Linked DNA regions of Astyanax mexicanus. The protein of the gene in region 3 purifies or fractionates together with the protein of the main gene of each other region. This does not show direct contact. Links are inferred from orthologs where the notes say so. Each region holds a gene or a part of one and is shown on either strand. Other genes may lie near its edges. The genes, in order: ythdc1, srrm1, srpk2 and pnn.

Region 1 (8,211 bases), on a different chromosome or scaffold from region 3:
AAGAAAAATGTGTTTTGGGGAGGGGGAGGTAGTGAACTCTAGGACTCTATAGTGTCGTGGACTAAGCTTTTGTTCTTAATGGCATTTTTTCCCTATTTTACGTTACTTTTACTTTTATACTTTAAGTAATTTTAAAACCAGTACTTTTACACTTTTACTCAAAGAGTAAAAAGCTTGAGTTGATACTTTAACTTCTACAGTAGTATTTTAATCCCCAGTATCTACAGTATACTTCTACCTACAGAGTAATGAATGTCAACACTTTTCAAACCTTTGGTAGTTTCTCTATTGTTATAAATCTGCTGCTTTATTACAGGTGTTGTGGAGATACTCAGGACAGAAACCTGATACTCTTGCTCCGAACACAAAACTCTATGACTGGATTCCTCAGAATGACCTACTAGGTAAAGAGCACACATTTTATCTATACTATACTACTATTTAAACTATTTGAATTAAAAAATTAATATATCATTTAAAACATTGTTGTATATTGTGATTGACTAAAGTCCGGTGAAATGTTACGGACTAGTACCATTTTCCTCCGTAGAAAAAGAACCCTTAAATCATATCATATTAAAAGCACTTAAACATAAACACTTAAAAATAACATTAATACGTATAATATAAAGGCAGGAAAATCACTTGATCCTAATATTTAACCTTTAAATCAAGGGCTCCCTTAAATTCTTACAGTATTTTTGGTTCAAACCTTCACTATACCATTTAATGTGTTTTGATTTTTTCATCAGTGCTGATTAATAACTCTACACCTCCAATCTTTTTTATACATATGTTTTATTGGACATTATATTAAGTTACAGTACACATAATAACAAAAAACAATGTTAACATCCATTTTCTCCTAAACAACATTTTGTAAAAAAAACAAAAAAAAAAAAAACGTTGGTCTACTGAGAAAATAAAAAATATATAGATAAAGAGGAGATAAGTAGCATTTTTAGGATAAACAATGAATTAAAATGTAAAACATATAAACAAGAATAGAAAATAATATTGAAAAAGTAATAAATAATAATAATAAAAGTAAAAGTAGCAATGAGTGTGGTAGGCACACAATATGATCGATTAGTTCAATAAATAAAGATAGAGGCCCTTAAGAATTAGTGAGTTTATGGACAAATGTTACAAATGTTCTATAACATGCTCTAATTAGGTTAGATTAGATTCTATTCCATAAGATTTTAGCTTTATTGTCATTGAGTCAGTTCAAGTACAAGCTTGTACTGTACTGTAATACAGTAATTTACATCTGATTCTTTCAGGACATCCCAAGACCAAGGCTTTCGTCACCCATGGTGGGACTAATGGACTGTATGAGGCTATTTACCATGGTGTTCCAATGGTGGGTATACCACTGTTTGGAGATCAGCCGGATAACCTGTTCCACATGAAGACCAAGGGAGCAGCTGAAATTGTTGAATTCCTCAAAATGACGAGTGGAGACCTGAAGGAGGCTCTCACTGCAGTCATTACCAATCCATCGTGAGTTTTCATTTATTAGGAAGGGGATTATTTTATGAGCGTTTTCACATGTCAGAACCAATTTTGCGGTCTGCCAGCATTCAGTGCTTAAATAGAATGAAACCAAAAATAAATTAAATAATTTGTTGAAATGATTTAAATGGTTTAAGACTGAAGAGGTTATTTATTATTTTATCCTATTTTTAAGTAGTCATTTTAGTAGGTATTTAGTCTATTCATATGCATATCACATTAGCTTTGTTTTTTTTTTGTTTTTTTACCTAATTAAGAACAAATCCATAGCACAGTAGGTAAAGTAAAGCATAACTACACCAAACTAACAAATTTTTTAGTTATTAAAGTTATTGAAGTCCGTAAACGGTAAATGGTAGTGTGGTTTTGGATCACATAACGTACGATTCACAATTTTGAGGAGCAGATTGAGAATTTTTCAGATTAGAAAAAAAGAACAGTAATTGACAGTCATTTTTAAAGTATCAGTAACTTTTAGCTTTCAGTTTGAACATCTTACTGCTTAGTTTGTATTATTAGAAAACTTCTAATTAAATAAAAACTTCTATATTATATAGAAAATTATAATATTATATAAAACAGTTGGTACTTCTGGCAGTGTGGGCAGTGTGCCAAGTCCTGCTGGAAAATGAAATCCCCATCTCCATAAAAGTTGTCATCAGAGGGAAGCATGAAGTGCTGTAAGATTTTCCAGGAAAACAAAACTGCACTGACTTTAGACTTGATAATAAAACACAGTGGATCAACACCAGCAGATGACATGTCTCTCCAAACCATCACTGATCATCAGTAAATGATTAAGGGATCAGAGTCTGGAGGAAGAGTGGACAGACAGTCCAAACTGCTTGAGGTCTAGTGTGAAGTTTCCACCAATCAGTGATGGTTTGGAGAGTCATCTGCTGGTGTTAAGTTTCACATTTTGAGCTGAATTCCTGAAATAAAGTTTCCAATGATATTCTTATTTTTTAAGATGCAATAGTATATTGTTTAAAAAAGTTATCAGTGATTGGCCTAGAAAAATAAATCAATTTTTTTTGCAATTTCTAAGATATGATTAGCGACTGCCTTAATCCAGTGTAGCAATTTGCCTTAAAAAAAAAAACTAAAGAAACACACATCGGTTATCAAGCATATATTGACTAATTGAATACATTTGAGGTAATGCATTTTTCACTGAAATATTCTAATAGAAATTTTGTGGTAAATCTGGCACCAAAGTTTGCAAATCTGGACAAATGATTTAATCTAATGCACAATGCAATAAATACAGGCTTTGCTCAAACCGCAATCTTTACATGATCTAAACAGTATTATTAATATTTCCTTTCTTCTCTCAGGTACAAAGAGAGCATGATGAGACTTTCCCGCATCCACCATGATCGACCAGTGAAAGCCCTGGACGAGGCTGTCTACTGGATCGAGTTTGTGATGCGCAACAAGGGTGCGAAACACCTGAGAGTCGAGGCCCATAACCTCACTTGGTATCAGTACCACTGCCTGGACGTTATTGCCTTTTTACTCGTAATAGTCGCTCTGGTCATCTTTATCTTTGTGAAAACGTGCAAGTGGCTGTTCCGTAAATGTTGCAGAAGATCCTCCGCCAAGAGCAAGAAGGAGTGAAAAAGCTGTGTGAATCGTACTGCACTGTAGTAAAGAGTCTCATGTCTTATTATAGGTTTGAAGACTGAAAATGCTGTGTTTTACTGTAAATCCTTTGTGTCACGCAACAACCTTGTATCTCCAGTTTTAACATTTCAATCTTTTTGACATAATTTGAAACTGAATGTATTTTTAATGATGAGGGGACCAAGAGAAATGGCCTAAAGTGATTTCCATCAAAACTTAAGAAGATGCATCCTTCTCCTGTGAAGTTGCCTTTATGAAATTACATTGTTTTTGCATCACCTTGATATTTTATTGTGTGTGAATGTACTGGATTTTAATTGTTATTCCAACACAAATTAGGGACAAAAAATAGACACACTCTTTACAGTGCCTATGTCATAAGTTTACACTGTTTTTTACAAAGTAGGTGAATGTTAGTTCTAAGATATTTTAATTATAGGTGTTTTATAATTAATTTACACTTCTCTCGACAGGATTAATGTTCAGGGATTTTGTTTGTGTCTTTTTATTTTGAATAAAATACTATTTTGATTATTTAAATGGGTAATTTTTCATATTTTTCTTAAATCAACCAATGACACAGTCTCCTGTCCCTGTTTTTTGTATTTTAAATTCACCCCTTACAACAGTATAAAAGAAATTACTTTGGTGTTAAGGTGTTTCAACAGCCAAAATAATATACTATAGAGCATTAATCCTACCAATTCATGTACTGACAAAACACACACTAGTAACCACACTTGCTCGGAGTGGACCCAGGGATCTGTAAGCCACCATTGCCTTAATATAATTTAACACTATAAGTATATTAGTATATCGTCGCTGTCCAGTAAAAAACAAGTATCTCCATTTTTGTCAATTTTTAGTTTACGACATAATTTTAACGCACAAACTGTCCCTTTTGCTGTTGTATTTTTGTAATGATTGTAGTCATAACTTTGTTTGTGACCTAATTTTGTGTTTCCAATAAAAAAAATGTGTGCAGAAAAAATATTTTTTGAAAAAAGAATAAATAAAAAAAATGAACCAATAAAATAAAAAATAAAATTTAATAAAAAATAATTTTGCTTTTGTATTTTTGTAATGATTGTTGTTTGTGACCTAATTTTGCGTTTCTTTTCTGTGCTTTGGATTGTATGTTGTGCACAAACAAAATAAAAAAAACATCTATTCTATATACGACAGGCAATATTTCTCCCAAATTCCAAATAAAAAATATTGTCAGAAATGAGAAATGTCTGAAATAACAAAAAGATGCAGAGCTTTCAGACCTCAGATAATGCAAAATGAACAATTTCATATTCATAAAGATTTAAGAGTTCAGAAATCAATATTGGGTGGAATAACCCGGGTTTTAATTACTGTTTTTATACATCTTGGCATGTTCTCCTCCACCAGTCTTAGACACTGCTTTTGGATAACTTTATTTCACACTGGTGCAAAAATTCAAGCAGTTCAGCTTGGTTTGATGGCTTGTGATTATCCATTTTATATTCCAGAGGTTTTAAATTTGGTAAAATCAAAGAAACTCATCCTTTTTACGTGGTATTTTTTTCCAGAGCTGTATATACATATTTATAAAACATTTTATTCTAAAATTGCCATCTGGGTTTTCTACTGTGTGTGTTAGGAGGAGGGGAAGTACGTGTTTCCTTACTATCTGGCAACCCTGCCGCAGTGCTAGGAATCCCTCAGCCATTTTAGACTGGAGAGCGGAGGATTAGCCAGGCAGCAGCGGCGGAGCGGCGGAGCTGCGTGTGTGTTTTCACTGATTCCCGAGGATTTCGATTATAACCAGTTTACTGAATAAAGACGCTGGATAAAGGAGACAAAACGAGGCAGCGCAGAGTCTCCGCTAACCCGAGGAAGGAGCCGAAAATGGCCGTCGATCGACGAGACGACAAAGGTAGAGAGAGACTGAGCTAGGCTAGGCTAGCCTATGCTAAGCTAACTGCACCTTTGTCTGCGGGGCTGTTTATGGATTAATAACGCTGCTAACGGCTATCTTAGCTTAGCTAACACAGCCTCAGCGCTGACAACTCGACCTTTAACCGAGTATGACTTTCCATATATTTATTTTAATTACAGTATTTAACGACATTACGCTTTATACATTTTAAACTGTGTAGTTGCGAAATGCTACAGTTAGAGATAGCAAGGTAACTTAGTGTTTTTGTCAGTGCTGTTGAAAGTAGGGCAGTGTTTAGTGTAACCTGCTGATCCGCTGTCTGAGTGTCTGATTCATTAGCTAGTTAACCTACCTAATGGTTAATAACTTAGGAAAGTTATATTAATTTCAATAAAAAAGAACAATAAGGACATATTAAGGTCCTAAACTAGCTGGGATGTTTTGTTTGGGGGGCTTCAAATAGGCCCAAGTTGTAGGACAGTGGCAATATGTAGCTATACAGCTCTGGAAAAAAAGACCTTTTAAAACGTTTTTTTTTTAACCAAATTTAAAACCTCGAATATAATAAAGAGAAAGGTGGATGACCACAAGCCATCAAACCAAACTGAACTGCTTGAATTTTTGCACCAGGAGTGGAAAGGTTATCAAAAAGCAGTGTGTAAGACTGGTGGAGGAGAACATGCCAAGATGCATGAAAACTGTGAATAAAAAACAGGGTTATTCCATCAAATATTGAATTCGGAACTCTTAAAACGTTATGATTATGAACTTGTTTTCATTGCATTATTAGAAGTCTGAAAGCTCTGCATCTTTCTTGTTGTTTCAGCCATTTCTCCTTTTCTTCAAATAAATGCTCTAAAAGACAATATTTTTATTTGGAGTTTTGGAGAAATATTGTCTGTAATTTATATAATAAAACAACAATGTTCATTTTACTCACACATATACCTATAAATAGCAAAATCAGAGAAACTGATTTAGAAAGTGAAGTGGTGGTCTCTTAATTTGTTCCAGAATGTGTGTAGTTGTATATGTTTGATTTTGGGTAGATAAATACATAACTATTAAACTATGCAGTTACGTTGGATAGAATGAACATATTTTGTTCTTTCAATAAGAACATACTCTGGAGACACAAGCATCCATCAATGTTATGATGTAATGGCCAGGGACTACAAGAAAAAGGCCTTGGTTTCAGGAGCATGACTTTGTTGGGGGGTAGGTGGGTGGTTCAGTGAATAAGAGTGTGTTAAGCATAGTACAGCATATTTATCTGTAGGGATAAGCAATATGGCCCTAAAATAATATCACGATTTGTGGTATTTATGCAATATGCAAATCAGTCAATCAGTAATACTTTCCCCCTGCTGATGTTCAACTATCTGCGTCTCACTGCTATCAGAAGCAGACTGCTGCAGCTCAGCCAGTCAGCTTTTTCTCCTGCCACGCCTCTAAACCCATACATCACCCAGTGCCCCTTTTAAACTACCCTTCCCGTTTTCTAGCATTTTTCAAATTTGAGCTGAGGATTGAGTCAGCTAAAATCAGGGGGTTTAGTTACCCTTTGATAGTTTACATCTAACACTGGTGTCAGAGGTGACTTATTTTATCAGTGTTGTAAACCCTGCCGACTAACATAGCAGTGTTACAAATATAATGGAGTTTTTTTCATACAATTACAGTTTTTTCCTCTGACTATATTTAGGGTGTTTTCACATCTGAAAGTCCGGATCAGGGTGTGTGTCTTTTTGTTACAGTGCATATATTGTATTTGGTCTGGTTAGTTTTTGGTTAGTAAGGTTCACACTGCAGTTTAGTGAGCAGACTAAAGAACTTTTACTACATCCTGTCATAATCAGCTATTTTGGTTTCGTCTCTCTACATATTAATCTCTCTACATATTTATCTCCCTACATATTAATTGGTTTGTAGAATGGTCGTTATGAGGTAAGCGAATTACTTTGCCAGGTGTTGCGCCCTTGAGTGGAACCAAGACTCAAAATGGGGGCCCATCCTCTTCTGGTAATCTAGAACACCTGATTATAGCCAAAAACAAAGTAATTAATTTTTATACTGTTTTAGTGTATTAGGTGTGAGCTGCAGTAATGGGATGTTTTAGGTTTGGTTTGTTTCTTCAGGTTAGGATTGCTAGTTTTTTTTTTTTTTTTTAACCCTCTGATGTGGGCCTAATATAGATATTTGGTCTGTAGTTAGCATGTTCTATTTATTCCGTCTGTTTGTTGATGTCTTGACTTGCTAATTTTAAAGCTAAAGGCAGTAATTCACCATTAAGTTAAACCCCATAATCCTCCCTTGCCCTGAATATGATTGATTATAGAATGATGTTCTTTGATACCAAGTTTTAAACCTTTTTAAAATTATCTTTTCAGATGGAGAGCTTAATGTTCTTGAAGACATATTGACTGATGCTCCAGACCAAGATGACGAGCTGTACAACCCTGAAAGTGAACACGGTGTCAGTGAAAAGAAAGGTATGTATTTCTTTAATTAAGGTAGAAGGAGAAAGGCTGTGATAGAGTTATTAAGTGAGAATGTGTTTGTCACTCTTCTCTTACTCAGGGTCCAAAAGGAAGAACGATCGTGGGGACAGCCACGATACAAAGCGGCTTCGATCTGCAGGCCACTCGACCAGGCAGCCAGTTAAAAGGTCAGCCCCTTCCACAGGAGCCAATGGGAAGAAAGTGACTAATCTAAGAGGAAGACACCCACCTGAAGACTTTTACGATGATAGAAAGAACCATTCTGGCAGAGGTGGGTCGTCCAGGGCTGACCTGTCTAAAGGGCACAGTGAGAAACCCCTGAACCGGAGCAGAGACCAACAGAGGAGGATTAAACCGCTGATGCCGGAGCTGAATGAGGTGGGTGGAGCAGCAGACCACATTTATTTGCTTCTGGTGGTTTTATGTTTTATGCCTTAATTTGAATAGTAAATTAAGTTGAAGCAGTCACTTTTAGTTTTGCATAGGATATAAGTATTACAAATGGAATAAATTTTGTGGAGGTGATAAGCATGAACCTGTTGGTGCCATATGTATACCCAGGTGGGTGAAAGGATTGGAATTGGGTGGAAAAGATCAGGTTCACTGATTTATCAAAAATGGAATGTTGCATTGTCCATACACCTATGCTGTAATCAC
Region 2 (7,813 bases), on a different chromosome or scaffold from region 3:
ATCTCAGCAGCAAGTGTTTTTAGAGTACATACGTAACAGGGACTTCCCCATTTTGAAGAATTCTTAATACCAGATTTCTCAGTGCCCCAGTGTGTGTATTTAATTTAAAGTTTTTTGATGATCTGTGTCAATAATACTTGCACAAGGGAGATCCTTGGTATTTATTCCATTGTATACTAACACCTACTGCCCACGTAAAGAGTGCCCAAACTTTTACACATTACTGTTTATCTTTATTTAGCTTTTCACACTGAATTCGGCTGATTGAGACGAGGCAATACCTTTTGTGAGTCCTCACCACAGCCACCAAAGATTCAAAACCAACTTTATAGTTAGTTAATTTACCAAGACAGACAGCTAAAAGTTAAACACGTCCAGTTTCTAGTTATCTTAGAACTACTTATAACAAACCATTTAAATGCAGGAAAAAATATGCATTTCTAAAAAATGAGCAGTTTTACCTGTTCTTGCAAATAAAGCATATAAAAACACTGTTTTTGCATATAAAGTACAAAATATTGTTAACTATTTACTTCAACTTTTTTTGCTAATTAACATTAAAAAAAATCATGGGATATCTGGTTCTGCACAGTTAGTGCCCAAACACAAAAGCATTTTAAACTGAAATTATCAATTTCAATTCTGGAAAAAAGCAAACTACTAATTAAATTTGACACGATTCTATACGTACAATCCCTGATCATAACTCACCTCCAAAAACAAAGTTCATCATCAAGGGAGAGTTGGGTTCAGTGAGACTTTGGGCTCAGGTGAGATCTAATTAGGTGTTGGTGCTATACTTCTGTTGCAAGGTATTACATCCATATTGGTTCAGGCCTTTTAAATCATAAATCACATCATCATTAGAAAAGACGTCAAAACCCCACAAAGCAAGTTCAGCATCTTCAGCAAGTCCATATGATTCTTTACCCATTTCTACCAGACAGGTGACACTGTGCTGCTACAATAATGGGTTCAAGTTAGACTCTAAAGCACATGTCTGTTGCAATGCCCTTTTCTCCAACCCCTCTGCCATCCAGATGATGTAAAAAGAACAACTACTGCAAATCCTGCCTGCATGTAACCACAAAAAGAGCAGAGGAACAGAATCAATGAAGGCTACCTTCTCCTCCAGCTGGTTAAAAATGAACTCGATGACGACATCGTCCTCAAAGCCAAGGATCTCCGTCACTCGCTGGGTGATCCAGGGCTTGATGACCTCCAGGTTTACCTTTGTCATATCCACCTTAAAGACAAAAAAATTGAAAGAAAATACGTCAAAAAAACAAAACATTGAAAACTAACAGACAAACAAGAACATATGTTCATGCTGTAAAACAAAATAAAAACATTGTCAAACCTTTTTCTCCAGACATTCTGCAAACTTCAGCTGCTTCAGCAACTTCTTGTGTTTGTTGCTGAAGCGATTATCTTGCTCCGCACTCGTTCCCTGCATAAAAGAGTTAAGTGTATGAATTGGAAAGTTATGCAGATTAATTTCAAGGTCCCAGGAAAAACTGACATCAACAACCTTGTTGGTGTAAAGCATGGATTTAAGATAAGCCAAAACCCTGGATTCTTAAAGCGCCTTCAAATCTTCCTTACACATTCCTACTTGTGATACTAAAGTTATAAATTATTTACATTGTGGTGTGGTAGGAAGCCTAACCTGTTGACTAACTTATTTTCTTCTATTTACCCCAAAAATCATCCAAGTTATCTTGCAAATTGATAAATCATTATGAGCATTAGAAGAACACTATTAACATAAGTAGCATGCACATAACAATTCTGTGGAGTGTGTAAGAGAACCAATAACAATTTTATTTAACCCTGCAGTGGTCATGTGTCAGTCATTCCGTTTCCACGATTGAACAAAAATTCCTCTTAACTGAATAGATCATTCTTTTAATATAATTGTTTAATCAATGTAATATTTAAATCCAGCAACTGAATAAAGCATTGCCTCAAAGACATAACTTGAAGCTTAACAATCTGTTTCTTTAAATTAATTATTTCCTTATTTGAAACAAAATTAATAAAAGCAGCATTCCCTTTATTTAACATTGCATTCTATCAATATAATAAATTATTTCCTTAATTTAATAAAAAAATAAATACATTTTAAAACACATTGATTTATGCTCATATTTATTACTTTTAATATATTTGTTTTATTTAACCTGTTAAGTTAAAAAAGAGGGGTTAACGTTTTGACCAGTCTATGTAAGAACTAGTTAACTGTACCTAAATAAATTTGGAAACCAAAAATGTAAATAAGTAAAATTCTCATAAGAAATCTTTAATTCTATTGTTCGGACACAATTGCTTAAAATCTAAAATGTAAGGTATACAATTAGTGTTAAATTATGCATCATAATGTTATGAACAAATGGTAATAAATTGAGACGTTAGTTAAATTATGTTGTAATGGTTAACAATGTCTTAACAAATTTCAGTAAATAATTAGTTAAAACGTTCTGTAGCAAATACTATTAAATAATGGACCCTTTTTATATAGTTGTAAACTGTATATTGGCAGATACACAACTTTTCATATATAACGTTATTTGATATCAGCAAATAATTCCCTTATCTGTACATCCCTAAATATACTGAATTTAAATGGCATAGTCAACTAGTTAACACTAACTATGTTATAGACTCTTACTACATAAAGTTAGCTATAGTTAGTTAAAGTTAGCTGACAAGCTAATTAACCACAGCATTTCCTCCACACGATCTGATGGAAGCACGAGACAGCTAATGCTAGCTACCCTAATCTTACCTGACCTATTCAGCGGTATTCCCAGACTAATTTAACAGCGCCCTGACTCCTTACGTGTTTTCTTTAATCTACAGATAAAGAGAATTATCAGTAAACTGTGTTAAATCCTGGTATTAAAAGCAGAAACAGCGCAGTTTTCTGCTCTGCGAGTGGAAGCTAAGAGGAACGTTAGCTTGCATGCTAACCGACAGGTTTAATGGGAACACAGCCCGGCCGCGCGCAGACCGCCGCTTAAGAGTTACGACTATTCTACACTTTAATAAGATATGTAACCAGATTAAAAGCGTGGCTGTAGATATATACCATCAAGACAAGCGACCTAAAGACATTTACAGAAGTCTGTTATACCGAAATTAACCTATTCAACTAATAACATATCCCCTAGCCGCTCTCTTGCCATTCCGCACTACGCTCGCTCTCCAGGCTAGGCTAAGTTAGCTTGGCTAAGTTAGCTTAGCTAAGCTACCTAAGCTAGCTAGCATACCGGCTAATCACTGCTAGCGCCGCGGTACAGGGCTCCAATACTGCAGTAAAATAAGGCGAATAAACGCCAGGTTATTAACTACATACATCCACAGTAACCCCCTATTTCCTAACGTCCCGCCAAAACGCAGTAAATCCAGCTTGAACGGGAACTTACGCGGAAAAATCCCGCGTCCATTTCCACCGAGAGGTGCGACAAAAACCGTCTGTGGAAAACGCGCTGCCGTCCCCCACAACCCACCGCGCTGCTGAGCTCATTTACCAGAAGAAGCCCGGCCCCGTCCCGATTGGCGCTCTGGATCCCTGCGCACTTACACACTAAGTAGTGCGCACTATTAAGGATATTTTTTCATTGCACTTTGCAATATGCTGTGCACACATATACAAACGGTATAATACATACAATACAATACAAAATGTAATGTATATATATAATATCAATGAGAACATAAACATAAAAAACCCAAACGTTCCATTTCCCCCAATACACTTACATGTCAAAAATCCCATCATAGCTTTTTAGAAATTTAGTGTTTTTTTGTGTCATTAACAATTCTAAAGCTTTACATGATACATTGAATTTCAGTTAAAAAAATGTGAATTTGGGTGTATTCTTCAAAAAAAATGTTCTTCATGAATATAATACAGTTCCAGTTTCAGGAGATTTTTTATTTTATTTAATATAACAAATTATGTCTTTGAGGTAAAAAAGGTAATGTTATACAATTTAATTCAGTATTCATTAAATGATTTAAACCAGTGGGAATAGTTTTAATAACAATTTTACATTCTTTAAATGAAATAAGAAATAGATTATTTCCAATTAAAAATAATAAAAAAGGATATTCCCATCCTTGCTAAATAAAACAAAAACGTTATCTTGATTATACCGTTTAGGGAAAAACAATGATTTTATTCCAATTGTAATAACACTATTATTCCAAAGCACTTTATGAGAAGCAAATGTGGGAAAAACACAGTTTCCAGGCTAACGATATAAAATGTTGCATGGTATATCTTCCAGGCCTGGGTATCAACACCTTTCGAACACAATCCCCAATAAATAATTTTATATTACATGTTTTTTTTTTTTTTAGAAAACACACAAAAAAACAAAACAAATGACAGTTGTTTTGGCTCCTCTAAAATGAGCAATAGTTCAAAAGTATATAATTTACAGTACCGTTTAAAACATGGGACACATCTTTTCCTTTTTAATGTTTTAATTTTTTTCCTACATTGTAAATAAATACTGAAGTCATCCAGATTATGATGAAACTTAAAAGTGTTAAATAAACCAAAAAACTCTGAAACATTTAGATGCTCTTATCTGGGGAGCTGTTAACTTTGGGTTTCTGAGGATGGTAACTCTGATGATCTTATCCTGTGCAACAGAGGAAACTCCTGCTCTTCCTTTCCTGGGGCGGTTCTGATGATCATCATAATGGTTTTGATGGTCTTTGTGACGGCACTTCAGGATACTTTTAAAGTTCTTGAAATGCTCTAAAACACATTAAGAGGCAAGATCAGCACAGCTGTTAACTGAAAGCAATTCCAGGTGACTCTTCCTCATAAAGCTGAGTGAGAAAATCCAGCCAAGATGAGCAAAACTGTCATCTAAGCAAGAGGTACTACTTTGCAGAATCTAAACTATAAAACATTCTGGTTTGTCTAAGACTTTTTATTACTAAACAATTCCCTATGTTTTTTAATAGTTTAGATGGCTTTAGTATTAATGTACAATGCAAAAAGTTTTAAAACAATTAAAAAACGCTGCATTTAAGGTGTCCAAACTTTTGACAGGTACTGTATCGTACAGTATCGTACTGTATCCTACAGTCAAAATCTCATGACTTACCGATTGAAGACGAGCCCTAAATCATGGAGATTAGTTCAGTGAAGGTAGACCAAATTTGACAAGCTATTAACATTGACATAAATATTAATAAGGCACATTTTATTTTGACTTGAAGTCACACTCTTGATATAAACCATTATCCTAAACCCCTGTGTGTAAAGTGTTTTAAACTAGTTATTTTTAAATGATGTATAAAATATAGATAAAAGTGTTAAAGCTGCTTAAACTCAAAAATAAACAATATATGCATATGCTTCATTCCATTTACCCTAGAAGGGAAGAAAGAAAGAAATAGTTAATTAATTTAACTATTAAAAGACGTGTGTTACTTAAAAACATATCTGAAAAAAATGACTGTTTGCTAAAGACTTTGGAGATTCAACTCAATTAACAATCTTTACTAGTGTTTTAAGGCAATTCCTACCAATATATAGATAGATAAATAAATATTTGGGAGGGTTTCCTCAGGAAAATCAGAAGAATGTCCCAGATTATCACTACAAGCATTATCCTAGAGTATCGTAGATCCACAAGATTCCATTTGTTAAACGTCTAGCATGATTTCTATCATCATGCTGTTTTTTTGCTCTTTTACCTTTTAAAATGTCAGAAATCAAAACAGTCTTTGAAGAAATAAAAAAAGAACCTTTCCATTGGGAGAATTTTGTTTTATTTTTTTTTCTGATATAAATTTACACTGCAATTTATTCCCCCAATTTCGGCATGAAAACAATAAGCTAATGTGCCTTCAATATGAAATGTTAACATATTGTAAAGGCTTATCTCTACACAATATCAGTTGGGCCCCCCAAAATCACACCCCATAGATGGAGAAGGAGAGAGTTTCTGTGTATAGTTCAGGAGATGCTCTGTCTCAAACGCTAAATTGTAATACTGAGCAGATTCGTTGTGAATTGTGTTCGTCCCCTGAATTTGGTTCACCTGCTGAATTGACTTTTCTGAAATTGAACTGGCCCCAACTGCAGTGTTTATCCATGGGCCCAGGCCTGTGTAAGAGCTGTTGTCCAGTTTTTGCAGTGTCATATTGGCATGAATTGGCTGGAAAACAAATGGTCTTTGACCTATACATCATACTCACTTATTTGCAAGAGTAAGGCAAAGAAAGAGAGAGGGAGAGCGAGAATGAGCTTGAGTAAGATTGAAAAGAAGTACTTGTATTATCCCAATGACGTTAAACAGCTATATGGATGACGGGACAGAAGAACGTAATTGGAACTTCAGCATGAAAGGCTAGGTTTTGTGAATGGAGAAACAGGGAAATACAAGGCAGCATTTAGTGGTAATTCAGAATGATATGATTGAGTACATTACGGACAAGACCAATAATATTGAACCAGATGGTGCCTGTTTATATTATCATTACTTTGAGCATAAGAGCAGTCTGAATTCATATGTTATTTGTTAAATAAAAAATAAATATCTAGTTATAGAAAATCCACACCACCAAACTAAATGCTAAACTTCTAAGTGCCATAAAAAATAAATAAGGCCCCTAACCAGACAAGACCATCATAAGGAACAACTGTGTTTAAGAGAAGCACCCAGAGCCAATCCCAAACACTGCACTCTGGTCAACACCCTTAAGACTATGTAACCATCAAGCCTGATAGCCGATGATGGTTCCCTGAGGTTACAGGGAATTGAGAGTAAAATCTGTCCCAGAGCAGTCAAACCAAGACAACCAAGTTTCATTACAATACTATTGAACAAAAGCAGAGTAAGAAAATGATAAATGATAATTTTAGGACAGTAAAATATAGTATGTAGAATAACAGAAATATTAGTAGGTTGAAAGTACAATTTGATGGGAAAAAGAAAAAAAAAGTTTTTTTTTGTCCCAGGATTTCTAGTATAACAGCATTATTAGTTTTATTTAACTGACATAATTAAATACATAGTAATGTTTATTTCACTGGGGATAACTAGATATGAACGGATGCTAGTAAAATGTTTAACGCAAACTAAATGCTAATAACCATATTCAGTAACCTGGCTGATAATAAACAATATATTCATTAGAAGAAACAATCAGGCTATATTCATTTGCATAAATGTTTTGTTTAGCCAGCTTACCCTGGCTGCTAATGAGCTACTAGCATTAACAGAGCCAATTAGTTTAGCTTAACCTGACTACTAATGAGCTATATTCTTTAAGCTAGCAAGTTTGGTTAGTTCACCTGGATGCTAATGAGCTAAATTTATTACCATAGAAAGTTAGCATAGCATAACTTCACTACTAATAAGCTATATTCACTGCCACTACCAGTTAGGTTAATTTTCCTGACTGCTAATGACCTATATTCATTAACAGAACCAGTTAGGTTCATTTCTTAGGCTGCTAATGAGCTATATTTATTAACAGAGCAAGTAAGCTTAGCATAACGTTGCTGCTAATAAGTTGTATTCTTTAACACAGCCAATTCTGGTAGTTTAGTTGGCTGGCAATGAGCTATATTTATTACCAGAGCAAGTTAGCTTAGCATAACTTTGCTGCTAATGAGCTATATTCATTAACACAGTCAGTTCTCCTGGATGCCAATGAGCTGTATTTATTAACAGAACCATCTCATTAGGTTAGCTTAACCTGGCTGCTAATAAGCTATTTGCATTAACAAAGCAAATTTGGTTAATTTCCCTTGTTTCTTATAACAAAGCTAATTAGG
Region 3 (7,964 bases):
CAAGGTGTACTGCCAGGTAGGCGTTTTTAACAGAGTGCACAATGCGTGCACACAGTGTTTAAAAACTCCAGCAGCACTGCTGTGTCTGTTCCACTTCTACCAGCACAACACACATTAACACACTGCTCCCGTGTCAGTGTCACTGTAGTACTGTGGTGGAATAATCCACCACCCAAATAATACCTTCTCTGGGGTGTGCCTGACCAATGCACAGGGTGAAAGGAGGATGATAATGTATGCACAGAAACTGATGAGCCACATTCTGCAATTACAGAATTACAGTTTTCCTATATTGTACAAGGTGTAAAAACATGTAGGGTATCATAAAATTATTATTAATGTTATACTTGACCGTGCATACGGTCACACACTCTAATATTTATTTGGACAGCCTATAAATTTGATTATGGCACACATTCGCTGTGGCACCGTTTCATGCTCCCTGAACTACTCTTTCATAATCTGAGCAAGATGAATGCTGGCATTGTCTTGTAATATGCCTATGTCATCAGGGAAGAAAAATTAATTGATGGTATAACCTGGTCGTTTAGTAGGTTTAGGCAGTCAGCACACCACATTCTTTGGGCACAAACCATTGCTGAACATACCCTGACAAACTGCAGCAACCCTAGATCATAGCACCGCCCCCCCAGACTTTTTGGACCACATGACCTTCTCCAATTGCTCCAGAATCCATAATAAAAGCTGTTTTTCCAGCTAGCTTCACTGATGAGGTTTTTTTAAGGCTACACAGCTGTCAGGTCCAAATCCCTTGAGGACCCTTTTCCAGACTGATAGATCTCAATTGCATTCTTTCTCATTTGTTCCTGAATTTCTTTTGATATTGGCATGATGTGTTCACTTTTGCCAGGCAGGTCCTATTTAAGTAATTTCTTGATTGAGAACAGGTGTGGCAGTAATCAGGCATGGGTGTGGCTAGAGAAATTGAACCACAGTTCAGTTTTAACTGGGAGGGGCACACTTTATCACACAGGGCCATGTAGTTTTGATGTTTTTCCTCCTGTAGTAAAAAACTTTATTCAAAAACTTGAAAATTACAAGCTGAATTACCTACTGTAATTTTATTCCCGTCTGGATGCTCTGAGAGTTTCGTCACCGTTTAATAAAATAGCTTTTTGTCCTCTGCCATGCACCATAATTACACTTTGGGCGTTTACACGAAGATCCACGTAAACACAACAGCGAGTGGAAATGGAGGGGCTACTGAACGCAATGCCACTCACTGGTCCTCCTGCTTTTCAATTGCAGTCCAGATGCAAGAGTTTTATCACTGAGTAGAAGTCCCCCTGAGAAACTAATCCCACCTGGATAGGGCTTTTGACTAATGTTTACATTTGTTTGATGATCTGAAACATTTAAGAGTCACAAACATAAGAGCTTTCAATGTCTATATCGACAAATGTAAATAAGTTTGTGAAAAATGTTGGATATTGGCACCACATTATAATTTCACTATTGATGCATCCCTCACAATATAAAATAAGATTATTCCATACACTATATTTAACCTAAAAACGTGTATTAGTACACCCCTACTATAGGGACATTAAGTCTGTTCCACATATGAAATATATAAAAACAAAACATGCAGTATGCATTGAGAATATTATTATCTTGTTGCTACTGTATTAACAGTGCTCGTGCGAGGCATCATGGATAGCATCCCATCGCGCCATGCAAGGCTCGCAGTGTGAGACACATGGAGGTGTCTTGCATTAGAAAAGCACGCTGGCTTTTCCAGCATATTCTTCGGCTCGCGGCTACAGCCCGGGAATCACCAAACGGCTGGCGGTGACGTCGCGCCAATCGCGTGGCGCCATGAAGCCGCTGTCACTCAACCCAGCCAACCGCTCAGCATTAGTCCCACCGCTGCACCGCGCTCCGCTCAGCGACCACCGCTTAAAACACCGGCTAATATCTCCTCTAAACGCCCACGTTTCTTACACGGAGTTCTCACACACACTAAACACACCAACATCTCCCCTCTACCCTGAACCCAGCGCTAGCAGCACGCCCACGCCCCCAAAAGCATCAGCTCCACATCTGTCACATCATCCAGCCACATCTCCCTCAATCCAGCCCACAACACACACACACCATCTTCATAGCTAGCTCATAATCCACCCCCTTTCACTCACACACACACACACATACAAGATTAAAGTCTGACTGTTCACAATTGAATGCTAGATATACATAATAGAGTTTTTACTCTAGTATCTGGTATCAATTACATTTTGTATATTTGAAATGGCAATTCAAGATATCTGCATTTACAGCCTTACTAGTAAAAGAAGGACAATTTTGATGACTAAAATGTTGTTTTATTTCAGATGATCAGAAATAATGAATAGCAGATATGTTGAATTGGAGCTTCTATACAACTGAAGGGCAATGGAATCCAAAGTGTCTCAAATAGGTTTTTATTCTAAGCTAATATAAACAGCGTTATATTAATTTGATAAAATGTTTAGGCATGCAATAATAGTAGATATCTGTAATAACGTAGCTCTGGTTAAACAAATTAATGTTAAAATATGTAACACATATATTACACTGTGTATGTGCGCGCGCGCGTACATGTGTGTGCTCTTACATAACTAAATTGCCATAAATGTGACTAGTAAGCTAGTCCATGCAAACTCGAGCACAGCGAGGAAGCGCGAGGCGACGCTTTAGCTCGGGCCGTTGCCATTAGCAACTCGCGACTCGCTGGGCAGATTGCACAGTGAAACAGCGCTGTATTCAATCAACATTTATCGTTAGCTAATGTTAGCAACGATTTGAACCCCGCTCATTCAGCCTGTTTCAGCCCTCAAAAGCTGCATATCTGTGACTATGTGTGTGTGTGTGTGTGTGTATGTGTTATATGGTTGGTGAGAACTAGCTATATAGCGTTACGGTCAGTCATCAGTACCGTCCACACGCCGCCCCTCGCCGGGGCTGCTGTCAACACTAGCTAGCTAACCTCCCCCCGTAACGGTCGCGTGTTGTGCTCACGCGCTGAGAGCCCGCATCAGTAACAGCAGCGAGCTAACGTTACCTCAATGCTACCAGCCCATAGAAGCAACCTATACACTCTATATACACACAGATACAAACTCCGAGAGCTGCCCCTACGACCCACGCCCCTGCTTACTTACCTCCGGTGGTGAGCCGCCTTGTCTTTCTTCCCCTTCGGCCTCCTCTTCCGAGCCTGGATAGCCATCACTGGAGGAGAGCAAGCAGGAGACGGAGGGCAGGCAGCACCGGGGGGAGGGACGCCAGAAAGAGAACAGAGGGAAAACAGAGGGGCTCGATGAGACAGAGAGCTAGGTTAGCTGACCGTGGAAAGAAAGCATCGTACATTAACACACAACAACAATATCCAAAAAAAGGTCACGCAACGCGACAGCAGGGCTGGACGCGAGGTTTTCAGAAGCCCCGCCGAAACGAGCAGATGTCTGCGTGAATTTAAATAGTCTATAGTGTTTAGTGTACCCTTTCTGGAGCTCATGGTGTTTATCCTCCTCGCCTCAGCGCCAGCAGCGGCAGCCCGGTTCTCTCTCCAGCGCGGCTGGAGGATGGAGGCGCGCTCCCGCTGTCTAGGAGAGTGGGAGGAGCCGCGCGTGCACGCGCATCCTCATCCATCCTTCACTGAGAAGCTACACAGGATGGATTCACTCCCGCACGAGCCTGTAAAGCACATTTAAAACACAAGGAACATCTAAATATACACGTACTGACAAAAAAATAATATATATATTCTCCGAGAAGAACTGTTAGAATTATATTAAACTTCCTATTTGTGAATGTATGATATGGGATGATATATGTAGGTGATCAAAACATATTTTAGGTAATTCTGCACATGTAGCCACAGGATGTACTGAATATATGGTTAAGCTATTAGTATCACTACTAGGGGTGAACAACTGTGTGCAATAGCTTGCCAACAAAACAACCACCCTACTTCTCTCAGTCAAGTGAGGTGTTCCCTCTCCAAGTCTGTCAACTGGGCAAAGTATCTTTGAATGCATTGTATAGGCATGCAGTCAACAATCTCTCACGAAGAGGTGCACTTCCCCAAAAAAGCCACTCACACAGCCTTTCAATGTGGTAGTGAGAAAAGCAATTTTACACCCTTCTGGCAAGACCCAGTGTGGAATCAGAGCACACCTATTAATTTATATATATGCCTAAAACAGGACTGCAGGCCGAGTTTTGTGGTAATAATAATAATCTGCAGTGCACTATGGGTGACCAACTGTCCTGTGCGAAGGCTCTCCAGATTACCACACCAGCAGTTGGGGCAGTGTGTCGTTCCAGCATACACAAACCGGACCACTATCAAATCCCAAACAGAACCTGGATTATTCACTGAAGATGAATACGGTTCCAGCTTGTAAGAATTTCAGGTTTGTAGTTCATGACACAACTGCAAACAAAAGGTGAGGCAATCGTTAACACCTTCTCTCAGTCCAGTAAGGTGTTTTCTCTCAATGTCTGTCAACTGCGCAAAGTTTCATTGAGTGCATCATATAGGCATGGTTAGCAGTCACAAAGAGGAACACTTCCTAAAAAAAGCAATTTTACACCCTCTTCTGGCAGGACCCAGTGTAATCAGAGCACACCTATTAATTTACATATCTGCCTAAGACACAACTGCAGGCCGAGTTTTGTGGTAATAATATTTGTTGTCATGTGTGAGAATACATATAGTCTATGCAGACATCGGAGGGGCTAAAAAAAATCCGGATAGCAGTTAACATTCACACACAGTCCCTTTTTATCCACCCATCTGTTCATATATTCGACCTTCGGTCCTTACATCTGCCTAATCCACCCCACAGAGTTTAATCAACATGGGACTGTGCACATTTTTTTACTAAATCATTCTAACTGTATAATATGCATAACTGCGCAATGCATACATAATAATTTGATGATAATACACAAAACGCTTTATAAACAATGCTTGCTACAAATGATGGACTTCTATACACATATGTAAAAAAGGTTATTTCGATAATTCACACGCAAACAACACAGGCCTGTGTCCCTGGTCCTGCTTTAAGAAGGGGATTTGAATAATGAACAACATGCATTGGCTCAGAGCCACAGCACCATCTGCTGGACAATATTTTAGCCAGATTTTAACATTAACATCCAAGAGCGTTGGACGTTTTAACCCATTCATGTACACACGGAATTGTGTAGGCTCCTCCAATGTATTGTTTTCTCTTTGCTTGTGGCGTTTGGGTGAGATTACCTCTTTTACATCTATACTTTTCATAATGTTGAAGAATAAAACGTTTATTTTTGGGCCCCTTTTTATTTTCATTAAAATCTAAATCAAACATTTTATGCAAAAACATTACAAATTATGTTTTTATTACAGATATAATTATACAGATAGATCACTAAAAATTATGTAACGTTTCTAGGTGCTAAAGTGATGCTGGGAAAATGTAATTTACACAAAACCGGAATAACCTCTAAGGGTTATTTGAAACAGTTTAGCACCCATTTAAAATTGCTGCATGATTGCCTGCTTAACTTCCTTTATACCCAAAAAGCTAACAATACGCAGAAGATTGTGAGTGTTATAGAATTATATTTTTATGTGTTTATACAGTACCAGTCTAAAGTCTGTACATACCTTCTCATTCATTGTTTTTCTTTATTTATATATTTATTTTCTACATTAAAGACATTAAACAATTAAGGGTCATATGGGGTCATATAAGGGTCATTTGGTTTACAAATTAATCTCACGTGTTCCTGTATAGCTTGAATATAGTCTTCAATATTACATTTACAATGTAAAAAAAACATAAAAAGAAAGAAAAGACATGAAAATGAAAAGAGGTGTGTCCCAACTTTTAACTGGCACTGTACGTTATATTGTATAAAAGAGTATATTTTGTAAACCGATACTCTTTTTGTTTGATAAAATGTGTGATTTTTGTGATTACCGAATAAATAAAAAGGGAAAAACAAGCGCGCAGGCGGAGCTTAACCCAGTAAACACTTCCGGAGGAGAGCGGGCACGTGGACACGTGGTTTGATGTTTAGAGCAGCACGGCGGCTATCAGGACTGGGCTGGAGAAGGTGGGCGCTATACTATTATCAGATTCACTCACATACACCTCAGTTATCTAGCTGGGTTAGCTATATTAAATTATTATCCGGTAAACGTATATTAATAGCATAGCATTCACAGCGGCACAGTGCGGATACAGTCAGTTAACCCTAACATAACTCACAGCGGAAAATCAGAAACGGACTAGCCGCTCAGTTTAAGAATGTGCCGGACTCCCTCCAGCACTGCTTGATAGTTATTTTTTATTAAATAGTGGCTAGCAATTACCATTTACCTGTATTCTTCTGATTAGCATAACAGTTGTTTTTTTCCACAGTGGAAGTAACAGAGTGTGGAGATTGTTCTGCTAACATACTCCGGTAACCTCACCACATTAATGATTGACGGCATTAAATTCCCACCCCTTTAACCCCTTAACAGGCCAAGCTTTTTTGTCAATTGTCTGCCTAAAATTAAGCCACTAAATCTTAAGGGTTTCTATTCAAGCATTACATAAAAAGCTTGTGTTTGATAAGGAACATTACTAAATATTATAATTGTAATTGTAATAGAAAATATATAAAAATAATAATAAGTAAATCTGCTAATGTCAAAATAATTGGCTCTTTCCTGAACTTCATTTTAAAATCAATATTTGTTTGTGTAGTTTTTACATTTATTTTCAATCATGCAAAATTTGTGTTGATTCCTGTTACTGATATGGAATTATTAAGTGGAGTAGAGAGAAAATAGACAGCTTCTCCAAGTGTACTGTTGGAGATTTTAGAAGAAAAAAGGGTTTTGTATCATCTACACCTGTAGCCTGTATACGAGACAAGAAATTTTAATGGGTAAAAAAGGGAAGGAAAATACTACACTGCTTTAAAAAACCAACATGGTCTGTTTAAGCTGATTAAGAATGTTAACCCTCCATGGCATAACCAATTTCTGGGTATTGTACAATACCATACTGTACCTTATTTACTTACTGGTAATTTGTTGGACATCCATTTGTGAAATAGGTGCTTAATATTTGTTAACCCCCCAAAAATGTATAGGGACTGTCAAGCCTTAAAGTAATTCGGTTAAAACTTAGCCTTAGGGTCTGGCAGGATGAATCAGCCAGCTAGTGCTCACTGTGCTACACAGCTTTATTATATATGTACATGTATGTCTCTTTTCTATTCTACAGAACTGCTCTCTTTTCATCCTGCAAGAAAGTGTTTCTGTTATCTCTCAGCAAGGCTTAAATCATCTGAACACAACAAAGAGATTTCTCTCCTAGTTTTTCTCGTTTACCTCCACTCAGTAAGTAACTCAGTGTAGTTAGATCTCACACTGTGGAATCAACAGCCTGCAGTATAACTCTGCCTTTCCTTATTTCTCTTCCTTTTTTTACTATGATATCAGCTTTGTGCCAATGGAGGACAAGGAGCCCTTGGCAGAGCCAGTTCATGTTGGAGAGAAGCGGACATGCCCAGAAGAGGATTCAGAGCACATTGCTAAAAGAGTCAAAGTTCAGGATGAAGCAAATGGCAGCCATGCCACTAAGCGGACAGAAGATGATAAAGAGGAGCTGGAAGGGGAGGAAGAAGAGGAGGCTCTGGAAGAATGTGATGGAGAAGGAGAGAGCTTTGCTGACATGATGAAGTATGGTCTCAGTGAAGTGGATGTGGGCATTTGCAAGTTTGTCAGTGAGCATAATGGCTTCTCTGGAATCCTGAAAGAGAGGTTAGTGGGTCAGTCTGCCTGGAAAGGTACACATAATGTCAAAGTTCCACACATTTGCCATATAGGAATTGTTCTGCATTCTGAATAGAGATTTTCCTTTGAAAATAAAATATAATCGACGACTAGGCTTAATCCCTGTCGGAAAACC
Region 4 (8,563 bases), on a different chromosome or scaffold from region 3:
CACGCCTTAAAACAAGAAAAACGAGGCGTTTTATTACAAACGCAAACCAACAACACGCAGAAGATTTATCATCCGAATAAAGCAAAACACAGACTCACCTCAGTATACCGATGCCACGCCCCCTACCTCCACCTGGGCCTGTGATGGACAAACGCCTGGTCTGACCCGGCCTGAAACCAAAGCAGATCAGAGTGAGTGGGCTTTAAAACACTGCAGATATCTACAGGTGTTGTGCTGAATTCTAGCTTTCTGTCTAAATCCCACTCCCTTTACATACATGCACCCCACCTTATAACTATAATTAGTACATTTATATTTACCCTGTCTTACTTGTGCAATAGAACAGTTGAGAAATCGAGTATTTTAGGTCTGTTTATAGAACTGTCTTAAAATATATTTTGTTGATAAGGAAGCTGTGTTAACGGTTGTTGGTATATCTTTTTAAGTTTTCCATCGTATCTGTAAATGCAGACAGATTCCTTTTTATATTCTGTAATTTTGTGGGACCAAGTTAACCCTATACTAACTAAAGATATCATTTAATGTTTGATATTATACACTGCCTGGTAGGAATGGGCAATATGGCCTTAAAATAAGATCACAACATTTCATGGTATTTTAGCAATACTTTTGGTGATACGACAAAACACCAACTGCTTGAATTTTTGCACCAGGAGTAAAGCAGCATAAAGTAATCCAAAAGCAGTGTGTAAGACTGGTGGAGGAGAACATTCAAAGATGCATGAAAAAGGTGATTAAAAAACAGGGTTATTCCACCAAATACTGATTTCTATACTCTTAAAACGTTATGAATTTGAACTTGTTTTATTTGCATTATTTGAGGTCTGAAAGCTCTGCATCTTTTTCGTTATTTCAGCCATTTCTCATTTCCTGCAAATAATTGCTATAAATAAAAATATGTTTATTTGGAATAAAAAAAATGTTGTCTGTAGCTTATAGAATAAAATGTTAATTTTACTTAAACATATACCTATATATTTTTCCAGGCCTGTAGATAGATAGATAGATAGATAGATAGATAGATAGATAGATAGATAGATAGATAGATAGATAGATAGATAGATAAATGTGATCTACATGATGATACATATTTTCAGTCATACCACCCAGCACTACCACAAAAAGGTAGGTGTGAAAGCAGCCTTAAATTCTGCCAAGATTATAAAAGTAAGTTAATTTCTAATACTTATAATGCACGAATTACAGTAACTATACCTTAAACATTGCAGTTTGTTGATTATACTTATTAAAAAACACACATGACTGACAGCACTGCTTGGCCTGTAGAAATATTATATACCATTTTAACTGTTATATTAACCAAATAGCCTAATATTACACTCACCAGCTACTGTTTTAACTGATGAACTAGATAACAAACCTTTAAATGTGCTGTAAATCACCACAGTACTTAAATAAACATTTTAATAAAGTGTAAATATTATATTTTGACACTGAGGTAACGTTAGCTAGGATAGCTAGTTATGCTAGTCAGCATGAGTTAAAGACAGCTGAGCTAACTGCTAACTATGTAGTTAGCAAACATTAGCAGCAAATTTGTCAGAAATAACTAAAATATTTAATATTTATCTACAATATTAGGAGACAATCTGTATTATCATGCACCCATATCCTTTCTGTTGGTGTATATTAGCTATAAAACTACACTTTCACCTTCATAAATGACACCATACGCCTTAAAAATTAGCTTAGCATAGCATTGCTGAGCTCAATCAGTGCTGGGCTTGCTAAGCTAAGCTAACACAGTTTCGCTAGCCTAGCTTAGCTTTGCGCAGTTTCGCCCTAGTTAGGCAGGAAGAGCTTCGGGTGCGTCCCAATACACTAACTATCTACCACCTGTAACTCTCGCTTAAACAAGCCGAGGGAACGTTTTAAACACGTTATTATACAACAACTTACTCTACCTTAAACTATAAAAGTTAGGTAATTAGCTTAAATTGCACAATAAAATATTGTTTTTTATTAACAAGTGGTCAAAATTGGAATGCACCTTTCACTCCAATCTAGTCTGAAACCAATGCTAGCTAACTGCTTTGCTAATCTAGTTAATTTAGGTGCCCTAATTAGCACACACACTAGCACACTAGACCGCAGCAATTCAAAAATGTATTAATATATTGTATTACATGTTAGTCATAGATTTATTTTATTGGCCAATAATAATCTTGATTTATTGTATTGTATTTTAAGTCCTCTATATATCCTTTACATATGTAGATTAGACAATAAAACTAACGTTACTTGACTATATATATATATATATATATATATATATATATATATATATATATATATATATATATATATATATATATATATATATGTTTTGTTATATGTACTAGTATATTAACTAGCTAATAAGTTGGAAAGTGTCAAAGCTCTGCATTCTTAAAACACAGAAGTATGGACTTTAAACAAATTGCAATTGTATGTATGTATGTATGTATGTATGCATGCATATATGTTTGCATTCATTTTAGCTATATTTATGTGCCATAACTAAGGCACAGAACAGAGTTAAATGTTATATACTACTGAAAACACGGACAACACTGTGCTAAATATTACATATTAATTAATATTAACTAGTTAGTTAACTAACTAACGCAAGTTTTAAGTGCCCTATCTAGGGCACAACACAGAAGTATGCACTTTAAACCGTAGCAATTGTATGTATGTATGAATGCATATTAGCTAGCTTTGCGTGCCCTAGCTATGGCACAAAACATAATTAAATATTATATATTGATGTATGACATTATATATATATATATATATATATAAGTAAAATGTTTATTTTGCTAGCTAGCTAGTATGTTGGAATGAATCCCTAATGTCTTGTTTAGCCTTCTAACACTAGCTTTAAGTGCCCTCGTTAGGGCACAACACAGAAGTGTGCACTTTAGTAGCACACCGCAGCGATTACATTTTAAATACTGATATGACATATTAGTAAAACGCTTATTTTATTATCTAATGGGGTTAGAAATCGACAGAATGTAATTACCCCATTCTACATGTTAATCTAGCCAAATAGCTTTAAGTGCCCTAGCTAGTTAGAGCACAAGTGTGCACCCTATTTTCTGTATTAGAGCTACAGCCCCTGTATTTAACCACAGCTAACGTTAGCTAGCTCTCTAAACTAAAGGTAAGCTAACTAGCTTAGCCGGTTAGCATGCTGCGGTTAGCCGCTCGCTAGCCCCGTTCCCCCGCTGTACCGGAGCTGATCCCGGTCCCCGGTCGTACCGTAGCTCGTTGGGGTCTCTGCCAGTGAGTTTCCGTATGTTCTCGTCCACACTCTTCAGGCTCTCCTTTGCCTTCTCCAGCTGATCCTGCAGATTCCGCACCGCCACCGCCATCCTGCTCCGATAGCTCAGCTAGCCCTACTGCCGCTACCGCTAACCAGCATGGAGCACCGCCGGAGTTCCACCTCTACCTGATGATGGACAAACACAGCAGCCAATAGGCGCCGACCCTCACGTTAACTTCCGCCAATCGTGGTGGTTCGTGCTGGCAGCGCCAGCCAATTATTCAGCTTATAAAGAGTCACATGTAACCTAAAAGATTCAAGATTCAAAGAGTTTATAATCTGCACAGTAAGGAAATAAGTCCTGATGAGTGCCAGTTTAATCATTCTAACGTATTTATGGTCTTTTTTTTTATTGCGACTGCATTTGAGGACACTTTGAGTTATTGAAATTTTTCAGATCGACTGACCTGATAATGAAAATAGTATTGTTTTCTTTACTTAGTTGAGTAGTTCTCGCCGTAATATAGATTAGACCATTACTCAAATAGTTCAAGTTGAAAGACTTTCAAGTAATTTGCACAGTAAGGAAACAAGTCCTGATGAGTGCCAGTTTCATCATTAAAACGTATTTTATGATCTTTTTTGCGACTGCACTTAAAAATACTTTCAGTTATTATTTTTTTCATATTGACTGACCTTCAGTTTTTCTTAAAGAATTTTTTTTGCTTTACATATTTGAGTAGTTCTTGCCGTAATACGGATTAGAACATTACTAAAAAAATGTACTGTTGAAGGACATCTGCACAGTAAGGAAATAGGTCCTGATGAGGGCCAGTTCTATCTTTATAACGCTTTTGATGGTCATTTTTGCAACTGCACTTGAAAATACTTTCAATTATTGAATGTTTTTATATCAACTGACCTTTATTTTTTCTTAAAGTAATTAAAAAAAAATTACTTAGCTGAGTAGTTCTTGCCGTAATATGTAGGACATTATAGTTGGTTTTAAAGGTTTAATAGTTTGTGCTAGATTAGCTAAATACTTAACACTTCTGCTATTATTAGGGGGGAAATATATGTATATATTATTATAAAAATATAAATATATCAAATATATATTTTGAAAGTTTTTAGCAGCAAAATCCAAAAAACAAAATCCACAGAAACAAACAAATGAAAGCAAAGACTGACCAAATTAAAAAAAACAATTTTCAAATAACGACAAATGTATATTTATATATATTAATTTCTAATTTTATAGCAAATATTTTCCCTTTTTATTTCCAAATTAATTCCATAAATAGAGACAAATTAGCCAGTCAGTATAATCAGTAGTAGTAATAGTAGTAGTAGTAGTAGTCACATTCAGAAACTGCTGATGTAATGCAGTGTGTGATGGAAAAAGAAAACAAAACCTAAACTGGAACACACTCAGTAGATTTATTACAGGTTTATTTCAATACAGCTGAAATGAATCACTGTAAACTGTTTTTATAATGGAACTATTCATTGATAAATCTACTGACCAATATTGATCACTGATCACGAAATCAGTCGATCAGCTGAGACACATTCAGTTTCTGGCAAATAACAGCATTCATACATGTAATCATAGAAAACAGACATCTACAAAAAATCTCCCATAATCTGCAGCATCGTCTTCTTCACTCTTTATCAGCCAAATCAATCTGCTCAAAATACCTAAATAAAAGAAATAAGAGGAAAAAAAAGAACCTGTAATTAACTTTATATAACATTAAAATTTATAAACTCAAATAAACTATAATAAAGTCAGTGATTAGTGAAAGTGTCTACCTGTAATTAACTCTATATAACATTAGAATACTAAACCCAAATAAACATTAATAATAAAGTCAGTTATCAGTGAGAGTGTCTACCTGTAATTAGCTCTATATAACATTAGAATCCTAAACCCAAATAAACATTAATAAAGTCAGTGATCAGTGAGAGTGTCTACCTGTAATTAACTCTATATAACATTAGAATCCTAAACCCAAATAAAATTTAATAAAGTCAGTGATCAGTGAGAGTGTCTACCTGTAATTAACTCTATATAACATTAGGATACTAAACCCAAATAAACATTAATAAAATCAATGATCAGTGAGTGTGTCTACCTGTAATTAACTCTATATAGCATTACAATACTAAACCCAAATAAACATTAATACAATCAGTGATCAGTGAGAGTTTCTACCTGTAAATAACTCTATATAACATTAGAATACTAAACCCAAATAAACACAAAGAATAAAGTCATTGTAAAGTGAGAGTGTCTACCTGTAATTAACTCTATATAACATTTGAATACTAAACCTGAATAAACATAAAGAATAAAGTCAGTGATCAGTGAGAGTGTCTACCTGTAATTAACTCTATATAACATTAGAATACTAAACCCAAATAAAGATTAATAAAGTCAGTGATCAGTGAGAGTATCTACCTGTAATTAACTCTATATAACATTAGAATGATCCATTAAAGTTATTGATATGTTGGTTAGAAAAACACAGTTTACCTGGCAACTATACAGATTAACAAGTTCAGTGCTGACAGCCTGTCGTCATCTTTGCTCTCCTAGAATAAAATGAAACACAAAAACATACTTTACATGTATAATATACTTACAATAGATTAAAAATATATACAAGTGTGGTTTTATATATAAATTCGTGACAAAATTAGCCATTTTCCGTCCCTGGCGTCATGTGATTTGTTAGTGTTTCAAGGTCTTAGGTTAAATTTGGTGTTTTGGGTTCAATTCTCTCATACTTGGCCACTGGATATTAAACATGCCACCTCTTGGCAAAGAGCTCTCTGTGGATGTGGGAAACAGAATTGCTGCTCTATATAAAGATAGCCTAGGCTATAAGAATATTGAGGTTATCTAATATTCAAAACTAAAAAATAAATCCAGAGTATGATTACAGTAATACGTAGGTCCTGTTCAAAATGAATGTTGAAGACTCCTACTATAATCATTTTATCACTACATACTTCTAAATCTACGACAAAATTACTAAATTCTTTTAAAATTTCTATATTCAGAGGCTGGCTTTAAAAAACAGATGTGTAGAATAGTGCTGCCAGTATTGCTGCAGAGGTTGAAGAAGTGTGAGGTCAGTCTGCAGTGCTCAGACCATACGCTCACACATACTGCACACATTAGATCAACTCTGTCTGCATCGCACTGTTCTAGAGGGTAGCCTCTTCTGAAGCTGATGCACAAGAAAGCCTGAACACAGTTTACTGAAAACAAGCAGTTTAAGAGCATGGACTACTGGAACCATGTCCTGTGATCTGAGGAGTTAAAGATAAACTTGTTTGGCTCAAATGGTGTCCAGCATATTTGGCGGCGTCCTGGTAAAGAGTACAAAGAAAATTGTCCCTTGCCTACAGGCAAACATGGTGGTGGTAGCATCATGGTTTGAGGCTGTATGAGTGCTTTCAGCACTCAAATGCTTTACTGAGTAAAGTGAAGATAAAGGTGATGGACTGCCCCAAAATTGATATAGCTTTAAAGCTTTAAATTGAGCATCTGTGGGGCATTCTTAAATAGAAAGTGGAGGAGAGCAAGGTCTCTAACATCCACCAGCTCTGTTTTCGTGTCATGGCGTCATGTGAAGCTCTAGTGAACTTCATACTATTTGTCCATTTTCACTTCGGAATCTACTCTACATTTTCGTTGTTAGCGGTTTACATATAAATGGCTAATAGAGGCAGGCAGTGTTTACCAGGTTTGCTCGTACTGCAGAGCACCGCCTCGCCAGCTGTCTGATCAGCGAATGAGCTTCAGGGAGGAGGGGCTTCTCCAGACACGCCAGTAATGCATACAGCCACTGACCCTGTGGAGATAAGAGCTTTCAGTACCATCTGTAAAGTTCTGTTATTTAGAAGAGTTTAACTAAACTCACCAGCTGTGGAACAAAATCTCTCTCCTCAAACCAGCTGATCAGATACTCCAGCACTGCAGAAACCGTCGACTACACAACAAAAAGAGTTGTTAAAGATTACAGGAGTATCAGATTACAGAGGTATTAGATAAATAGGGTTATCAGATTACAGGGTTATCAGATTACAGGGTTATTAGATAAATAGGGTTATAAGATTACAGGGTTATCAGATTACAGGGTTATTAGATAAATAGGGTTATCAGATTACAGGGTTATTAGATAAATAGGGTTATCAGATTATAGGGTTATTAGATAAAAAGGGTTATCAGATTACAGGGTTATCAGATTACAGGGTTATTAGATTACAGGGTTATCAGATTACAAGGTTATCAGATAAATAGAGTTATTAGATAAATAGGGTTATCAGATTACAGGGTTATCAGATGTCAGGGCTATCAGATTACAGGGTTATCAGATTACAAGTTTATTAGATAAATAGGGTTGTTAGATAAAGAGGTTTATTATATTAAAGGGTTATTAGATAAATAGGGTTAATAGATTACATGGTTATCAGATTACACAATTATCAGACAGCATGCTTATTAGATTACAGGGTAATTAGATAAATAGGGTTATCAGATTACACAGTTTTCAGACAAACAAAATGATCATATTACAGGGTTATCATACACACAGGAGTTTAAGATTACAGGGTTATCAGATTACAGTGTTATCAGATTACAGGGCTATTAGATAAATAGGGTTATTAGATTACATTGTTATAAAATCACAGGGTTATCAGAAAAATAGGGTTATCATATTACAGGATTATTAGAGTACATAATTGTTAAAATATAGGGTTCTCACACACACAGAGTTATCAGATTACAGGGTTATCAGATTACAGGGTTATCAGATTACAGGGTTATCAGACAAACAGGTCGACTAAGATCAAAAAAACCTAACAGGAAAAAACGCATTTCATAAACAGGCTTATACAGGCTTGTTTACAACAGTTAACTGATAATTTTCTGATGTTAAAAAGTCACCTGACTGAGTTTGCTGACGATGCTGAGAAACGGAGGAAAGCCCATCTGAACAAACAAGAAAGAGAACGAGAAGAAACTATTAGTGGATAAATACTAGTCCAAGTAAATCAATAATCTGTTGGAAAAGTTCTGCTCTTGATCTGACCCAAATATCAAATATACTCCTCATCTTAGAGCTAAACGGCTGTTCAGGTGCAGTTTAACCTGATTTATTATTCAGATAATAATTACTACAGTTACTAACTAATGCATCTCTGCTGCTGCTCCATGCTAAACTACACTAAAATACAGTATGTGCTAGACCAGAA

Evidence for each region.
Region 1: the proteins of srpk2 (region 3) and ythdc1 purify together in Homo sapiens (affinity purification with mass spectrometry; 4 studies listed by BioGRID and IntAct, with this or other methods). This does not show direct contact. The link is inferred for Astyanax mexicanus from reciprocal best matches to the Homo sapiens genes SRPK2 and YTHDC1.
Region 2: the proteins of srpk2 (region 3) and srrm1 purify together in Homo sapiens (affinity purification with mass spectrometry; 3 studies listed by BioGRID and IntAct, with this or other methods). This does not show direct contact. The link is inferred for Astyanax mexicanus from reciprocal best matches to the Homo sapiens genes SRPK2 and SRRM1.
Region 4: the proteins of srpk2 (region 3) and pnn purify together in Homo sapiens (affinity purification with mass spectrometry; 3 studies listed by BioGRID and IntAct, with this or other methods). This does not show direct contact. The link is inferred for Astyanax mexicanus from reciprocal best matches to the Homo sapiens genes SRPK2 and PNN.

What each region holds. Positions count from the first base shown.
Region 1 is NC_064408.1:10,367,109-10,375,319, forward strand, and holds the start of ythdc1 (YTH domain-containing protein 1), read left to right. Parts: upstream 1-4,820; 5' UTR 4,821-5,022; coding exon 5,023-5,050; intron 5,051-7,443; coding exon 7,444-7,545; intron 7,546-7,633; coding exon 7,634-7,932; intron 7,933-8,211. UniProt on the Homo sapiens protein: Regulator of alternative splicing that specifically recognizes and binds N6-methyladenosine (m6A)-containing RNAs.
Region 2 is NC_064421.1:41,980,300-41,988,112, reverse strand, and holds the start of srrm1 (serine/arginine repetitive matrix protein 1), read right to left. Parts: upstream 3,529-7,813; 5' UTR 3,450-3,528; coding exon 3,429-3,449; intron 1,451-3,428; coding exon 1,361-1,450; intron 1,247-1,360; coding exon 1,124-1,246; intron 1,118-1,123; exon of another isoform or gene 1-1,117. UniProt on the Homo sapiens protein: Part of pre- and post-splicing multiprotein mRNP complexes. As a component of the minor spliceosome, involved in the splicing of U12-type introns in pre-mRNAs. Involved in numerous pre-mRNA processing events.
Region 3 is NC_064409.1:52,787,630-52,795,593, forward strand, and holds the start of srpk2 (SRSF protein kinase 2), read right to left. Parts: upstream 3,640-7,964; 5' UTR 3,518-3,639; coding exon 3,502-3,517; intron 3,232-3,501; coding exon 3,165-3,231; intron 1-3,164. Other genes in the region: pus7 (pseudouridylate synthase 7 homolog), read left to right, coding at 7,506-7,816. UniProt on the Homo sapiens protein: Serine/arginine-rich protein-specific kinase which specifically phosphorylates its substrates at serine residues located in regions rich in arginine/serine dipeptides, known as RS domains and is involved in the phosphorylation of SR splicing factors and the regulation of splicing.
Region 4 is NC_064421.1:1,237,288-1,245,850, reverse strand, and holds the start of pnn (pinin), read right to left. Parts: upstream 3,474-8,563; 5' UTR 3,402-3,473; coding exon 3,289-3,401; intron 171-3,288; coding exon 99-170; intron 6-98; coding exon 1-5. Other genes in the region: gemin2 (gem-associated protein 2), read right to left, coding at 4,957-4,993, 5,832-5,890, 7,048-7,158, 7,228-7,296, 8,256-8,300. UniProt on the Homo sapiens protein: Transcriptional activator binding to the E-box 1 core sequence of the E-cadherin promoter gene; the core-binding sequence is 5'CAGGTG-3'. Capable of reversing CTBP1-mediated transcription repression.